2 linked regions of the Schizosaccharomyces pombe genome follow. Each later gene encodes a partner of the first gene's protein in a complex. Each region holds a gene or a part of one and is shown in the gene's direction. Other genes may lie near its edges.

Evidence for each region.
Region 2: ppp1 (region 1) and ytm1 share a complex: the UniProt entries of both Schizosaccharomyces pombe proteins name them as parts of the NOP7 complex.

Annotation. Positions count from the first base shown.
Region 1 is NC_003423.3:3,710,868-3,715,777, reverse strand, and holds ppp1 (pescadillo-family ribosome biogenesis protein), read left to right. Parts: upstream 1-2,120; 5' UTR 2,121-2,158; coding exon 2,159-2,180; intron 2,181-2,192; exon of another isoform or gene 2,193-2,218; coding exon 2,219-2,386; exon of another isoform or gene 2,387-2,540; coding exon 2,541-4,174; 3' UTR 4,175-4,359; downstream 4,360-4,910. Other genes in the region: nucleolar protein Dnt1, read left to right, coding at 1-578; hom3 (aspartate kinase), read right to left, coding at 4,576-4,910. UniProt on the Schizosaccharomyces pombe protein: Component of the NOP7 complex, which is required for maturation of the 25S and 5.8S ribosomal RNAs and formation of the 60S ribosome.
Region 2 is NC_003424.3:5,006,445-5,010,886, reverse strand, and holds ytm1 (ribosome biogenesis protein Ytm1), read left to right. Parts: upstream 1-2,008; 5' UTR 2,009-2,029; coding exon 2,030-2,180; exon of another isoform or gene 2,181-2,288; intron 2,289-2,461; exon of another isoform or gene 2,462-2,542; coding exon 2,543-3,714; 3' UTR 3,715-3,871; downstream 3,872-4,442. Other genes in the region: pxr1 (PINX1 family ribosome biogenesis protein), read right to left, coding at 226-1,080; serine/threonine protein kinase Ppk16, read right to left, coding at 3,916-4,442. UniProt on the Schizosaccharomyces pombe protein: Component of the NOP7 complex, which is required for maturation of the 25S and 5.8S ribosomal RNAs and formation of the 60S ribosome.

The DNA of each region.
Region 1 (4,910 bases):
AAAGTGAGAATGGTAAAAGCAAATTTCCCCCTCCTTCCCAGACCCTTGTTACTACATCGACGATATCTGCAGCGGGAAATGAACCTTCTGATGAGATTGGTTCTGAAAATGATTCAGATTCGGATTCAGACTCGGACTCCTCTGTTCCTTTAAGTCAACTACAGAAGAAATCACAACAACGAAATTCTGTATCTCACGAGATACAGAATAGAGGAACCAAAGGATCCCCGAAGGAACCTAAAGCTAAGCCTTCTACGGAAAGACCGGAGACTCATAGGACATTGTCTTACTCACGTCTTTCAGAATTGTCTAAAACGTTTTCTCCTGAAATTAGAGAACCTTCTCTTACGAAGAAGACCGCGGTCAGTATGCAGGAATCAAAAGAAGAAGGGCGTTCTGATGAATCTTCTGAAAGTGAAGAGTCAGGGAGTTCTTCAGATGAAAGCGACAATTCGGAGAAGGAAGATAGATCCAATCCTATTCCCGTTGAGAAAAGAGCAAGTACTGTACTAAATACAAAGAAAAAGAGGAAAGCCAAAAGAAACAGTGCTTTGGCTGGCTTGGCGGCCCTAGTGTAAATTTCTTGTTTTTGATTAACTCCCTTTACGCTCGTTTTTTTTTTTTTTTTCATCATAAGTCCAATAGCAAAAGAATTCTGTAATAGCGTTGTTGTGCTATCATATTGCGTATATAATAAATTTAGTTTTCTTGGCTTTCTGCATAATTTTGACTTATTAATAAAATTACATGTTAATTAGCTAGCAAAACTTGATTTAACTTTGATGCTGATAAAAAGATGTTGAAATTCTAAATGGAACGTTCTTTAATGTCCATTAAGTTGCTTCATTTCAAATCCTTTTTTGATGACTGATTGTAAAATTAAAACTGCTAGTTGTAGGAAACAGGAGACCAGACAATGACAGTAATTAGTATATTAGTAAAATTTTCCGGACTAAAATTCGTAAAAAAAAAGAACAAATTAGATTACAATATTCAAATATTTTCACGAGCTTTAGTATTTATATTATTATAGGCAGTACCTAAATTCACAAAAAATGCCATTATTTGTTGTATAGTAATTACTTTACCCTCGACATTACTCATAATGGTTCAATAGTGTTAACAAAAACTGATATTAGTAAAATCTTTCTATTCTTTAGTATGTTTATAACGAAGACCAGCTAAACATGAATTTCTTGATCCGGGCAAACTAACTGCGTATAGTTGATATTATGCAAAGTGAACGAACTTATTTATTTGTAGTAAAATAATAGCTCTATAAAAGTAAGATGATCGAAAAGAAACTTATCACACTCTTACTATAAAGTGCTTTAGCAATACGATAAATTGGGTGAATTTTCCCTTTACACAAACATATACATACGGTCTCATAAATCTCAGCGCTGATACACTATGCTATGTTATTCAACGTTGAGTAACTTTGTATGCCATAAGTTGAAGTGAAATCAGATTATTAATAACTGCGTATACCCGTCTATCTATTTAACACAAAAACCGTTGATATAAATTATTATAAAAATGATAAATGGAAGCTACAACTGAACTGAGGAGCGAGGCTCATATAATAATATTTTAGTGACAGAAAACGACGTAACCTGAATATAAGAATATCTATTACAAATTGCTATATATATCATATGCGTACTATATAATTTAATAAATCACAAGGAAGACTCATCGCAACTCTACCTGTCGTTAAAACAGATGCCTAGCTGCGTACCTGAAGATTTGTTTATTTACCGTAAAATGTAATAAACATAAATACTTTAATATATCACTACTGTATTGCTTAAGATTATAACTTACTTGAGTAGCTAACAACTAAATCGTCGAACATTGATTCACTTGGAGTAATTGTAGAAGTTTTGATAGTTATTTTAAATTACAAGACCTTTACAAACTTATCAAAAATCAATTAGTCCCTTGCCGCAAAGATTTATCTCAAAAGTACGGAAAAACACAAATATAGCGAAATTTAACGTAAAATAGTATAAGAAAATTTAGCGCTGTGAGATAATACTACCATCTAACACCATTTACGCAGTGCAGAGAGCTAAGCTAGTCTGTATGAAGGATTTTGGATTTTGCAAAATTCTTCCAACACCCTCTTTCTGCAAAAAGCCATCAAATTGAAGAAATGGCGAGGGTAAAACAGAAAGGTATGTAGCTTGTAAAAAAATTTTCTAATTGAAAACAGGGAAAGCAGGTGCAGCTCGTATCTACATTACGAGAAATCAAGCGCTTAAGAAGCTTCAGCTCACTCTTGCTGATTTTCGTCGTATTTGTATTTTAAAGGGTGTTTATCCTCGTGAGCCAAAAAATAAGAAAAAAGCAAATAAAGGCTCCACTGCTCCAGTCACTTTCTGTAAGTCTAATAGCATCAATTTTTACCGGAATCATAGCTATCTGAACATGGACGTTTGGTATAAAAAGCATTTTCCGAATGGTCAATTTTATCATGGGCTAGTCTTTTTTTGATGAACTAAAAGAATGAAATTATGTACTAATAAATATAATAGATTATACTAAGGATATCCAGTATTTGTTACATGAGCCTATTGTACAGAAGTTTCGCGAGTACAAAGTGTTCGCTCGCAAGCTTAGCAAAGCATTGGGAAAAGGGGAATTAGAAACTGCTAAACGTTTAGAGGCCAGAAAACCCACTTATTCTTTGGATCATATCATTAAAGAGCGTTACCCAACCTTCCATGATGCCTTGAAAGATATTGATGATGCTCTTAGTATGCTGTTCTTATTTTCAACTATGCCTGTTACCGACAAGATTGGTGCCGCTACTGTCGCTAATTGTGAAAGATTATGTGCTGAATTTCAACACTATGTAATTCGGTCAAATTCCCTTCGTAAAGCTTTCCTCTCTATTAAAGGAATTTATTATCAGGCCGAGATTTTTGGTGAGCAAATCACCTGGATTGTTCCCTACAAATTTGCTCAATCTGTTCCTACCGATGTTGATTTTCGTATCATGCACACTTTTTTGGAATTTTATCAAGCACTTATGGGGTTTGTAAATTTCAAGTTATATAATACCTTGGGACTTCGTTATCCCCCTAAGATTGATGTTGCTAAAAGCGAATCTGCCGCTGGTTTAGCAGCTTATGAGTTAGAGGAGTCTTCTTCCTTACCCGCTATCGTCCATGGTAATAACAAAAATGCTCGTAAGAATATTGCTACTTTAAAAAGTAAAATAAGAGATATTGTGAATAGTGATGCGAACGTCGTTGAGCAGTCGGAAAAAACTACTGAGGATGCTGATGAGGAACCTGAAACGGAGGAAAACTTAGATGAGTTTAAACCAGCTGATGGTGCAGATAATGAGGATTCCAAAAGCCTAGTATCACATATTTCATCATCTAATACCTCGTTGTTTTCTAATTTTACTTTTTTCCTTTCTCGTGAAGTCCCCCGTTTTTCTCTGGAATTTGTGATTCGTGCCTTTGGTGGTAAAGTTGGATGGGATCCAATTCTCGGATCAGGTTCTCCATTTTCAGAATCTGATCCTGTGATTACTCATCATATATGTGATCGTCCTCATATTTCACAGAAGTACGAAGGTAGGATATATATTCAACCACAATGGGTATACGACTCTATCAACAAAGGAATCTTGGAAAGGACAGACTTGTATGCCTGTGGCGCTACGCTCCCTCCTCATCTTAGTCCATTTGTTAAAGTAGGTGAAAATGACTACGATCCTGAAGCTGAACTTTCTGCTGAAGAGAACGACGATGTTTCCGAAGCTCTTGATGATAATATTTCTGGCGAAGCAGTGCCCATAAGTAAGAAGAATGACGAGCCTGAAAATGTTGAACAAATTGATGACGCTGAAGAGGAAGACTTAGAACATCAACGAGAGCTGGAGGCAGAAGCAGGCGGTGTCGCTTATTCTGAATATGTTAAACAGAATTCTAAGTCCGCGAAAAAGACTAAGAAGCGTCAACGTGATACTTTGACTGCAGAAGAAAAAGAAGAAAAAGAGGCAAAGGAGTTATCCAAAATGATGATGAGTAATAAACAGAGAAAGCTTTACAGTAAGTTGAAAAACGAAAATAGCAAAAACGAAAACTACAACAATGCGCTTCGCAATCGGAAGAGGGATATTGAAAAGAGGAAAAAATTAAAGGTTGAAAACTAGGTTTAATAAACAGTAATCATAGTAATAGATTATTTTGGGTCATTTACTTTTTGTTTCTTAAAATGAGTTCATTGTATTTTACTGTATCCATGGATTAGGTTCGTGTTCAATTTAATTGAAGCTGATCGTTTTTATATAATAAATACACTTTTGCTTAACATTTTTTCGACTGGGAGATAAAGAAGATGAATATCAATTTTTGAGATATATTATAAAATATTAATTTTATGTAGTCAATATTTATTTATAAACGTACAAATAATAATAATGAGTAAAATAAAACTCACGGTAATTTTAAAATAGAGAATGTAAAATATTTAAAGACAAAAAGAACAAAAAAATGAAGGCAAGACAACACTTTTTTTTTATTTTTTAAATTGACTTTCAAGGTTACAGTACGTTTAAGCACTGTAAAGCCAAGGCTTTTCAACCAACATCGAGGCCTGTGACGGAACTTCATGTAAAGCTAAGGGTTCAAGCAATTCTTTATGAATAACGTTAAGAGCCTTTACAGCCATTTTCTCGTCAATAACGCATGAAATGTTGATTTCACTAGCACCTTGACTAATCATCTCAATGTTGATTTGGGCTTCAGCAAGTTTGCAAAACATACGACCAGCGTAACCGGTAGTGTTTCTCATGTGCTTACCAACAAGAGATAGAATAGCTAAACCATGGAGAATATCAAGCGTTCCCAATCGACGCAATTCAACGAATGCCTCATGCATATTACCGT
Region 2 (4,442 bases), on another chromosome or scaffold:
ACGCGATTACTCTCAATAGCTGATTACAATACGACATAAGTAGCTTTTCGAAATTACAAGCCCGAATCCAGCAATTTCTTCCAAAATCAACTAAATATTACCTTCTATTAAGACATAGATTAAAAAACCGACAAACCCTTCCTCTTAAAGTATTGTATACCCATAACTTCTAAGACTCGTTTATTATATTCCGCAAGTTAGAAAAATAGCAAAAGAAGTCACTTCCTAACCTTTAATACCTAAAATCTCCCTTAAAGCAACTGGGTCGCTTACTGCTGCTCGCTTTTGTGCCAAAAATTTTCTTCTGGTATGGAAATGAATGCTAGCGGGTCGGTTGCCTTCTTTGACCTTCTCGACAGAGGAAGTGGACTCTGGTTTATCCTTTAATTTTATTTTCTTTTTCTTTTTCTCTTCTTTGTCGCTTGAGCCTGATTTTCTCTTTTTTGAAGAACTTTCCTTATCCTTTTTCTTGTGCTCTTTTTTCTTCTTCTTCGTTATTTTTTCCAACTTTTTAGGATCAAGAGCCGAACCAGTAGAGGTCTTTTTCTTACTTTTCTTCTTAGAAGAGTGCTTCTTTCTTTTTTCACGCTTAGCTTCATCGGATGAAGACGCATCTTCACATACACGATCCTCATCCTCCTCTGCTTTTTGCATCCATTCAGAAAATTCACTAGTAAACGTCCCACCCAAAACAAATCGTCTGGATAGCTCAAGTGATTTTAAACCCTTCTCATTCGCACTCTGTCTCTCGTATGTTAGTTGCTGCACCTTTGCTTTCTCAGCATAGACACCATACGCAGACTCATCGCCGTTAAGTCGACCAAAAATAGCGTTGAATTCACCTAAACCGCTCCATTCAAGATCGTTAGTTGCTTTGGCTCCAATTCCCAGTGTATCATCTTTTAGGCTGACCTTGATGTTATGAATGCGACCATGTTGCTTTTCACCCAAGCCATTACCATTCACCCAACCGTAGGAGGATAAAAGCTTAAATCCCAATCTATTTGTATCTTTTGCCCATTTAGAATTCCGAGGATCCACACCAATCTGTTGTTTCTTTTTTACACCAGCCAAACCCATGATGTCCTGTTAATCTTCAATAAAATTTTTTTTTTATCGACGATCAATATGTGAGAGGACAAAAAAGAATGAGAATAAATTATAAGAAGTAATCAATTGTAAGAAATAATTAAAATTGCGAACAGCGCAAAGTAATATACATAAAAATATGTAGCAGCCTGAGTCCTAAAATCCCACCAAATCCTAGAACCGATGAATTCTTTCCCAAAATAAAACCTTTTTCGAGGATAGAATCAATTGAGTCTCCTCTTCTTTTATAAAAATATAAACACACGATAAATCAACGATCTAAACAAAGTCTTCTCGCTAATTGAGAAACTCTCCAAAATTTCTCGAGTATTGCACTCAAATTGGTGAAAAAGGATAAATTGATAGATCTTTATTAAGTTTTAAAAAAGAAAAGTACTGGTTCTTGGAATTTCTTGAAAAGTGGTGGGCTCAAGAAGGGAATATATGCAGTTGGTAAACCGGCTATGTGTTAAAAGCGCTATAGATGCTTTCAAAGGCATAATTGAAATCTTCTTTCAAATAACGTGAAAGCATTCCAAAAAATTACAATGTTATAATGAGCTGTAAATAATACCGGTCAAATCATCATTTAAGTCGTTTTAAAAGAAGTATTTCAAAAGACGTTAAATCTTACAATTCGAGCATACTCTGGAAAAAAATAAGCTTTAAAAAAGTTTATCCTTTTACTTTTAAAGCATACTTTAAATCTTCTAATATTATTTTTGTTATTCTTAGATTTTGTTCAACTGTTACTTTTCTACTCAAAAAAAAAAGCTGAATTAGGACCGCTATCGATGAATACGAATTGGGTTGATTAAACTTGAAAATTCTTAAAAAACAGTCTCGTAACATCTTGATCAATTCAGCCAAAAGTCATTATCCTCATTTTTTTGGTACTGGAAATTTTGATCTTTTCGACACTCCTTCCACCAACAACAGAATGGATGCCCAAAGCGCTCCTTCAGGCCAAGTTCAAGTCCGTTTTACTACTAGAAATGAGGATTTAGCTGTTGGTGACACGCCGATTTTTGTTCCTACATCTTTAAAGCGGTACGGCTTATCTCAAATTGTAAATCATCTTCTAAAAACAGGTATGTTTTCAGTTAACACATACTGGGTCAAAGCAGGAGAAAAGTCGCATAATTCAACCAACTTGAAGAAAATTTGAAGCAATAGAATAGCTGGTCTCATGCAAGGCCCAATTACTATAAAACTGTGTAGAAGCTGAAATTTGTTGGCGAGAATCAAATGGGGGCTTCTCGAATCTAAGAGTTACTCTAGTGTTCTTTTTCACGCCTTTCTTAAAATTTTGTAAAATTCTTGAAGATGCATTACTAAAAGCCCTTTTTTTATTTTTTTGTCTCTTTTACCTTTCATCCTCGTTTTGCTTCATTGCTATACAATTTTGCGATTTTTTAGTTAATTTAATTTATTTCCTTACTAACTTTACTAGAAAAGCCAACACCCTTTGATTTTTTGGTTCAGGGTCAGCTGTTAAAAACTACTCTCGATGAGTACATAGTTCAAAACGGATTGTCTACGGAGTCGATTCTTGATATTGAATATATCCAATCTACATTACCACCTGCATATTTAGCTTCTTTCTCTCATGACGATTGGATTTCTGGTATTCAACTAACCTCAGATACCATTCTTACTTCTTCATACGATGGGATAGCTCGTGTTTGGGATAAAAGTGGTGAAATAAAATTTCAATCAACTGGATGTGGATCATCTTTAAAAAGTGCATCCTGGCATATACCTAATCAAAGTTTTCTCACTGCTTCACTTGATCAAAAAATTTTTCATTGGGTGATCGAAGAGCCAGAATCAATGTTGGATGCTGAAAAGAAAAGCTCCGGTATCCTTCAAACTCTTTTCGTAGGGCACAAGGATATAGTTGAGCGCGTACGATCCTTAGAATCTTCAAGCGTTTTTATTTCTGCTTCTGCGGATAATACTGTCGGAATTTGGGATTTTGAAAGGTCTCCTGAGACTACCCTCGAGTCCTTTTCCTCGTCTATATCTAAAAAGAGACGTCGCAAAAATGCAGAATTCACACCTCAAGCTGGGGCTCGCTCTCCGCTGATCCTTTGTGAGGGGCATACTGGACCGGTGATGGATATCGTCTTTTCTGATGATCCAAGTGTTGCATATTCCGTAGGCCAAGATCACACAATTAAGACTTGGGATCTCATTACTGGGCAAAATGTTGATTCCAAGATAACCAAAGCTCCTCTTTTATGCGTGGAAAAACTTACTGACCTACACTTAGTCATTTGTGGTTCCTCTGCGCGACACATTGTTGTTCACGACCCTCGAGCGGGAAGCGACAAAATTGTGAGTCATACTTTATCCGGCCACAAGAATTTAGTTTCCGGATTATCGGCAAGCCCAGAAAATCCCTATATGTTTGCATCCGTCTCTCACGATAACACTTGTCGTGTTTGGGATGTCCGTGCTACATCCGGCAGTATTTACACAATTTCTAGAGCAGAAAAAACAGGCTCTCAGTGGGATAAACTTTTCGCTGTTGATTGGAATAAATCCATTGGTATTGTTACGGGAGGTACTGACAAACAACTTCAAATCAATCAATCCTCATCCTTTGGAAAAAGCGAATGAAAAAAGATGTAGCATAAAAAAAATTGACAGATTATGATTTAGTGTGGTACAAGCGGGATAAGTTAAGGAACAAGGTCATTACTACTAGAGATTAAAAGTTTGATTAAATTATTTAAGAGAACACTTTATTAAAGCAAAATAAGTTAATAATTCAAATTATACACACCACGTAGCTTAGTAATCGTGTAATAAACTTAAGCTTCAGAGCAAGTCTGTGAAATGTTTTGAAGAGTCTGAAAAACTGGTTTCTTCCGGCTCCTCTTCCTCTTTGACTGAGCTTTGATTAAACATCAGAGAGGAAGATGATTGCGGGTTTTTTCTACCAGAACCAACTGTAAAAATTGCAGTAGCATTTATACGAGTGTTAAATGGCTCTCCGGAAGGAAAATGGAAACTTTTGTGCAATCGTTCAAAAGGAGAATGAAAAGGTGTTTGCCTTTGAACGGTCGAACTGGAAGGTTTAGATGAAATAATAGAAATTAAAGAATTTGAAGATGCAGAAGAGACGTTTGAATAGGATCTAGTACGGGATGAATTCCTCGAAGAAGCAACGGAAGAACGCCCAGACAAGCTGCGTATGGGAGTTCGTGATCGTCGAGTCGGCTGGGGAGATATGACAGTATTTTGCAGAGGAGAAGGTGGAATATCAATATTAATTGAGAGGTTCGAACTTTTAGAAGGGCTATTTTGAGAGTTCGAGGGGAAGGTAAAGTCTTTATTACCGTCGA